2 linked regions of the Oryctolagus cuniculus genome follow. The protein of the gene in region 1 interacts with the protein of each later gene in a pairwise test. Links are inferred from orthologs where the notes say so. Each region holds a gene or a part of one and is shown on either strand. Other genes may lie near its edges.

Evidence for each region.
Region 2: the proteins of LRP2 (region 1) and MAPK8IP1 interact in a two-hybrid assay, tested with the Homo sapiens proteins (2 studies listed by BioGRID). The link is inferred for Oryctolagus cuniculus from reciprocal best matches to the Homo sapiens genes LRP2 and MAPK8IP1.

Annotation. Positions count from the first base shown.
Region 1 is NC_091434.1:71,865,513-71,869,321, reverse strand, and holds part of LRP2 (low-density lipoprotein receptor-related protein 2), read right to left. Parts: intron 3,715-3,809; coding exon 2,794-3,714; intron 2,697-2,793; coding exon 2,531-2,696; intron 2,158-2,530; coding exon 1,999-2,157; intron 1-1,998. UniProt on the Homo sapiens protein: Multiligand endocytic receptor. Acts together with CUBN to mediate endocytosis of high-density lipoproteins. Mediates receptor-mediated uptake of polybasic drugs such as aprotinin, aminoglycosides and polymyxin B.
Region 2 is NC_091432.1:20,068,206-20,072,014, forward strand, and holds part of MAPK8IP1 (C-Jun-amino-terminal kinase-interacting protein 1), read right to left. Parts: intron 3,036-3,809; coding exon 2,733-3,035; intron 1,608-2,732; coding exon 1,526-1,607; intron 1,316-1,525; coding exon 503-1,315; intron 143-502; coding exon 67-142; intron 1-66. UniProt on the Homo sapiens protein: The JNK-interacting protein (JIP) group of scaffold proteins selectively mediates JNK signaling by aggregating specific components of the MAPK cascade to form a functional JNK signaling module. Required for JNK activation in response to excitotoxic stress.

The sequences.
Region 1 (3,809 bases):
CGGGGAAAAAATGCTGAAATCCACAAAGAATTAATTTTCTCAACTGGAAGCCTAACTTCTGGGCCTAAATACTGTTTCAAACAAGCCTCCATCTTCCTTCCTTCCTGCCTGCCTTCCTTCCTTCCTTCCATCTTTCCTCCCTCCCTCCCTTTCTCTCTCTCTCTCTCTCTCTCTCTAAGATTTTATTTATGTATTTGAGAGAGAGAGAGGTCTTACAGCCACTGGTTCACTCCCCAGATGGCTGCAATGGCTGGAGCTGGGCCGATTTGAAGTCAGGTGCCAGGAGCTTCTTCTAGGTCTCCTATGTGAATGAAGGGTCAAGCACTTGGGCCATCTTCCACTGCTCTTGGGCCACAGGCAGGGAGCTGGATCAGAAGAGGAGCAGCAGGGACATGAACTGGTGCCCATACAGGATGCCGGCACCACAGGCAGAGGCTTGGCCTACCACACAGCACTGGCCCCAAGCCTCCATCTTTCTTTCCAAGTGGGGCACTTAGTAGTTAGGATGTATCTTCTATTGATAAGAAGTCTTATGTGCTTATCAAACAAGGACCTACCAAAATTGTTGACTTTCAAATATCAATACAACCTTTTCAATTTGATATTTACTGCTTATTTTGAGGTGTTGACCTAGAATGATCCAATTTAGGATGACAAAACACTGCTGCTTGGTTTCAAATGAGAAAGTGAAGAAAATATCAGGATGCTAGGTACTTGGCATCACAAAGACCAAATCATCAAGAAGTCAGCAAGAAGAGATGACTGACATGTAGACACCAGCCACAATAAATGAAATAATTTCATCCTTTCAACTATTGCTTTAGGATGACTGCATTGTTAGGCATTTGGGGGTTTCAGAGAAGTTACATACAAAGTTCGTATTGACAGAAATGTATAAGGCAAAAATTATGAGATTTGCTGAGAAGAAGCTTGCTAGAGAAGAAAAGTCTGTTTGAGAAGATGCTCAAAAGTCAAAGATTAAAGATAAATATTTTAGAAAGATACTAAATACTAAAGCCCAGGGGGAAAAAATCAGTATTAATATGCACTTAAAAGTTATTCATAATGCAGGCATTTATCCTAACATTGAAGACATGGGCTAGAGTACCTATGTCCCATATCAGAGTACCTGGACTTGATTCCCAATTCTGGCTCCTGATTCTAGCTTCCTGTTAATGCACACCCTGGGAAGCAGCAGCGATGACTCAGTAGTTGGTCCTGGGAATTGAACTCCTGGATCCAGTTTCGGCCCAACTCAGACCCAACCATTGCAGGCATTTGCGGAGTAAACTAGCAGATGGTGGAGCCTTGTCTCTCTAATAAATAGGAATGTTTTAAAAATTTGAGGGCCAACATTACGGAACAGTGAGCTAAGCTGCCATCTGCAATGCCAACACTCCATATTAGAGCACCACTTTGAGTCTCAGCTGCTCCGCTGCTGATCTAGCTCCCCGCTAATGTACCAGGGAAGGCAGCAGAGGATGGCCCAGGAACTTAGGCCCCTGACATCCATGTGGGAGACCGAGATGGAGCTCCATGTTCCTTATTCAGCCAGGAACAGACCCAGTCATTGCAGCCATCTGGGGAGTGAACCAGCAGATAGAAAATCGATTTCTCTTTCTCTTTGTCTCTCTCTCCCTCCCTCTCTCTCCATATCTAGAAACAATTGAAGTGATTCACATTTTATACTAGTTGCCTACAGTCTGTTGACTATAAATTGAGCAATTATATTTCTAATTACAGTTGAAAACACAGGTGTATTAGCAATGCATCTTTAAATTTTTTTAGTTCATAATTATTCAATCTCAAGATACAGTTAAAGTTTCACATATATAGTCAATAAGCTAGAATACATAGTTCCTAATACTGTGATTCTACATTTGGCAACATCTCTCTGGCATGTTATATTTTCATCAAATTATGCAAATCCCTCTTCTTTGTAAGTGGAGGAAGGAGCTCTTCTTAGCAACACCCACATGAGTAACAAAAGACACATACAGGCTAGCATCCGCCCAGTAGAGAAGGTCCGTCTCATAGTCCAGAGTGAGTCCATTGGGCCAAACCAGGCTAGTATTCACAATGGGTACCCGGAAGTTTCCTCCCAGTGTGGCTCTCTCGATTTTGGCATTCGTACCCCAGTCAGTCCAATACATGTACCTAGTCATCCAAAAGGAATCATAAGTAATTCATCATAAGGAACTTCACAGTCCTTTTTACTTAAACAAATGGCAGCACTCTTTAATTGCTAGTTGACACTAATATGGCAAAAGAAACTCTACTACATTCCTACCCACAAAACTTGCTCTAAATGGATTTGCCCAGTCAGAACACTGATTACTTAGCATCTTTTTATCATCAAAAGGAATTACTCACCACACCCTCTTTCCCAGTTAAAATCACTCAATGGGATTTCCAAGCAATGAATCATATATAAGTCAATAATATGCTGGCTGCCTCTGGACATAAAATATTTCAGGACTTACTCCATAAATAAGCAGATAGAAATGCAATAAAGAAGATCATAGCATACCCTCGGCAGGGATCTAACACAATTGCTCTTGGTTTTGAAACACGGGCTATTAGGGTGCGCTTGGATCCATCTTCAGCCATGGAATTAATCGTCTGGTTGGAGAAGTCACTGTAGTAAATTCTCCTGTTGATCCAGTCAAAGGCAATACCATCAGGGGTCCCTATATCTGGACGAGCACCAGCAAACACACACACAAAGATGTTAGAGTCTTAATATGCATAAGAAACATACCATCATTTGTGTGTGAACCTGGGGTCACTTACCTGAAGCAATGACAGTTGGAGAATGGTTCCCTGAATACAAGCTGACATAGGAAATCTGGCCAGGTCCAGAGACTACTTGTTGTGTGAGGTAGATTCTATTATTTATGTTGTCATAGTCCACAGCTATGGCATTTCTTTCCACATCTATTGCTTGGAAAGGTGGGCTGTGATTTTCAGGGTCCAAATGTAAACTTCTCAAGGAATTATCCAAGGCAAAGATGAGGAAATTTTCTGTTGAAATTGCACAGTTCTTGCCATCACTTTCCAAAGTTCCAAAGGCACAGCCACATTTTGGAGTGTTCGAACCAGGCAAAGCGAAGCAAAGATGGGAGCACCCACCATTATTCTCCAAGCAAGGGTTGTTGTTGACTTCTGATGGCGACCGGGGCTGGACAGTCTCATCAAAGATGGTCACATCTCTTAGCCAGTTGATATTGTCTCTTATCACTGTTGGAGGCTCTGTGTTTGCTGGTTCCTTGCTAGCTTGGAAGACTTTTTTCAAATTCCTATCTACCCATATGATAGAATTTTGAAAAACAGTGATGCCATAGGGAGTTGGGTAACGACTGCCGTAACGAACCACTTCTGATCCGCCACCATTAGGATGGATCCTTGCTATGATATCTAAAGAATCATCAACCCAATAAATATAGCCATTGCTACGGTCCACTGCCAAGCCCCGTGGTGTGACAATGCCATCTGATACAAGCACAGTTCGATTGGTACAGTCAAGAAGAGAACGTTCAATCTTTGGTTTCTGTCCATAGTCAGCCCAGAAGAGGTATCTGTTCTTGGGGTCTACAACTATATGCCGAGGCATATCCACTGTGACTTTAAGGAGAACACGGCGATAGGTGGTATTGATCCGAAGAACTTCTATGAGTGTTTCAGACACAAAGGCATTGGTGAAATAAAGATTTCCTACAGGAAAGTGAAAGAGCATACTGATGAGTGGAAAAGCAAGAAGAAGAAAGGGGATATCCTTTAAATTCAGAACAAAATACATGGGTACGCCA
Region 2 (3,809 bases), on another chromosome or scaffold:
CAGAGGTTGAACACAGGGGCCCAGGGCAGAGTGGACGAAGCCTTGCCCCGGGCTGAGGGTGCTCACCTGAATATGGCCCGGTGCGTCTGCTCCTGCTCCACCCCGTTGATGACACAGGAGAACAGCCCGAAAGACTCTGCACCTGAGGAGGGGCAGGGGGCGGGAGGATGTGGCCCCAGCTCCGGGGGAGGGGCAGGGGGCGGGAGGATGTGGCCCCAGCTCCGGGGGAGGGGCAGGGGGTGGGAGGATGTGGCCCCAGCTCCGGGGGAGGGGCAGGGGGTGGGAGGATGTGGCCCCAGCTGGGGGGGGGCAGGGGGCGGGAGGATGTGGCCCCAGCTCCGGGGGAGGGGCAGGGGGTGGGAGGATGTGGCCCCAGCTGGGGGGGGCAGGGGGCGGGAGGATGTGGCCCCAGCTCCGGGGGAGGGGCAGGGGCAGGGGCAGGAGGATGTGGCCCCAGCTCCAGGGGAGGGGCAGGGGGAGAGCCCCGGCCAGGTCGACTCACTGGAGGAGCGGGAGCGGCCGCTCATGAAGACGTTCAGGAACTTCTTGGAGAAGTGGACGTCCTCCTCGGGGCTGGAGTCCTCCGAGAGGCAGGCCGGGGGCCGCGGCCGGGGCGCCTCCTCGTACTCCTCGCCGATGGCCGACTCGTAGGGCGACGAGGCCGAGGCGCAGTTGTCGTAGACGGTGGCGGAGTCGCTCTCGTCGCTGTAGTCGCCGAAGCACGGCCGCAGGCTCACCAGCTCCAGCTGGGCGTGCTCGTCCACCACCAGCGTGTACTTGACCGAGTCGTAGGACAGGGCGCTGGTGTCCGAGCTCAGCGAGGCCCGCGGCGGCGGCGGCGGCGGCTCCCCCAGGCTCGCCCGCCAGCCTCCCGCCGGCGGCCCGGCCCGCTCCGGGGAGGACAGGCAGTCGAAGCCCTCGTCCTCTTCGCTGATGGAGGGGTGTGGCCGGCCCAGGGTGGAGGGGTAGGCGGCGGGGTCTGGGTCGGAGCTGACCGACATGCGGCTCTCGGCCGGCGGCAGGAAGCCGGCGCTGGGCTCCGCGGGGTCTGGGGGCCTCTGCACCGGGGTCAGGTAGATCTCCTCCGTGGCCTCCAGCCGCACGTCGGCCTGGTAGTGGATGCGCTCTCGATGGGAGTGGCCCCGGCCCCCAGGGGCGGCCGTGGGGGGGGCGCCAGCAGGGGCCATCTGGGTGGCAGCGCTGCGGCGACAAGGGCTGTCGGTGGAGGTGCCTCGGTCCTTGGTGGGCGCGGGGCTGCCCTGGGGGGGCAGCTCGTCGCTCAGGCAGATGTGGTCATGGGGGGGCGTCTGCTCTCCTGCAGGGCAGGGTGGAGGTGGGGGGGCAGTGCTGAGCCGGGCTGCCTTCACCTGGGCCCCCCACCCCGGTCCCTGCTCCATGCACCAGGGCCCCGGGCAGGCTCTGGGTCCGCAGCCCAGGCCTTGGTGGACCCCCATGGGCAAGGTGGGGGCCCTGCAGGGGCGACTCGGGGCGGGCTGAGGCCCAGGTGTGGGGGGGTCTGCCTCACCTGTCTTCAGGGGTGAGGACGAGCGGGACACGCGCTCCTGCCAGCTGTGCTTTTTCCCGAGAGAGTTATTATTCAGTGTGTCCTGGGCAGCGAACAAAGGGCCCTTGTGAGAGAGGCGGTCAGCAGTGCCCGGCACAGGGAGGCCCTGGCCCTGCCCCCACAGGGCCCCCCCAGGCTGCTCGCTGCCCCCACCCTGCCCTGCAGCAGGCAGCAGGGGTGAGGGGTGGCCAGGGAAGTGTCAGCCTGGGCAAAGGTGGTGCTGGTTGGCTGCGGGGTGGGGGGTGAGGAGGGGGAGTCTGCAGCAGACTCAGGACCCCCACGTGAGATGCCCAGGGCAGTGGGGGGGCAGCGTGACTCCCATCCTGGAAGGGGCAGGGCCGGTCTGGCCCAGCCTGGGTAGAAAGCAGTGAGGTACCCTGGGAGCCTGCGGTGACACTCAGATGGCTCCGGGGCACTGTCTCCCCTGGCCCCCAGACCAGGGGCCCAGCCCGCGGGGGCGACAGGCATGGCTGGCAGCAGACCCCTTCCCGGATCTCCCGGCTGCTTGCCCACATCCGCAGCACCTCCCCAGCCCGGCCCCCACAACGCCCACATACAAGTCTCCTTCGCACCTTACACCACGAGCTGGGCTACCAGAGGATCCAGGGAGAGGGACCCCGTTTCTCTGCAGCCCCCGCCCATCCCCTGGCAGCTCCCCCTCCCTGGGTCCCCTCCTTACCTCTCCTGACTGGACCCGGGAGACAAAGGGCCTGGCCAGCGCTCCCCACCCTATTCAACTCTCCTTGGCTTCCGGCCAGCAGCCCAGGGGCCCCAGGCCCCCAGCTCAGCTGAGCAGCGCCATCCCACAGGCCTCCCCCCTGCCTCTGGGAAGTCCAGGCTGCCCACACTTCAGACGCCAGCTCCCAGGCCCCACCTCCCCCACAACTTCCCAGGCCCTCGCCCAAGCGGACCACTTCCCTCTCCCCTCTCCCCACGCCGTTTCTGCCCCACCTTCACCAGGGACCCCAGACCCTGAGGGTCCCAAACTCCACACCTCTGCCACCGCTCCAAGCCCTGTGCTCCCTACTCCAACCCCTCCCCGGGCCCCGTCAATCCCTGCGCTCCTTCGCCCTCTCCAGGGACCTCCACCCGTCCCCCGGCGCCCACCTCCCAGGAGCCGGCCCCGCCCCGGGGCGCCGCCCCCTCAGCCCCGCCCCCCGCGCCTCACCTGAGACCGCGGCACCTGCGGGAAGAGGTTGAGCGTGGTGGGCCGCTTGGGGCGGTATGTGTCCCCGCTGCCTGGGCCCTGGCTCTGGCCCTGGCCGCGGGACGCCGGTCCCTGACCGGGCTCGGCCTCGGGCGGCCCCGCTCCCGGACGCCGCGCCGCGCGCTCTTCGTCGTCCTCCTCGTCGTCCTCGGCGCCGGGAGTGTCCCCGGTCGCGTCGATCAGATCCATCTGCAGCATCTCGGCCTGCAGCCGGCTCCCCGCGCTGCCGCCGCCGCCCGCAGAGAGCAGCCCGGCGCGCGGGGGCTGCGCGGCGCGGACGGAGGGGCGTCAGGGGGCGGGGCCGCGCCGGGTGGGGCGGGGCCGAGGCCGCCGCGCACCGCCCCCTGCCCGGACGAATCCATTGCGCGGCCACGAAGCGGGGGGCGGAGAGCAGCGGCAGGGAAGAGAGGGGGCTCCGGGCCGCCCCTGCGGGAAGCGCACGGCCGCCCCTCCCCGCCCGATCGCCCCCTTTGCAGAACACCACCCTCTCCCCTCCCCGCGGACCCCCCTTCCGGCTCCTTGCACCCTCCCGTTCCCTTGGCAACGGCCGATGACCTCACCCGGGCTGTAAGCAGCTCCCAGAATGAAGTCACCGCTGTTGCCATGGAGACGTGGGGTCGCCCGAGGAGCTGGGCCCCCGCAAGAGATTGGGGAGAAGGGGGCGCACATTTGTATCTGAAGAAGTCTAGGAGGGACCCTGGGAAAACCGAGTCTCTGGCCAGGAGAGGAGGGCCGTACTGCGGACTGGAGTCCCTGGGAGCGCCGGAAGAGGGTCGCCGAGGCGGGGGACAGGGGCGGTCGGACCCCAGGGGCCCAGGCCTCTCCATGGGCAAGCTAGCCCTGCCTTCCTAGGGGACAGCCCCTCCCAGTTCCAGCTCTGCCACTGCCTGCCTGGCACCTTGGACAGATCCCCTGACCCTTCCATTCCTGGCAAGCGTGTCTGAGAGCCCCTGGGGCGCATCTAAGGCCACCGCCCCCGTCCCACAGCCAGTGCTCCCCCGGGGCCCCAGCTAAATGCAGGGCCCGCCCTCTCCAAGG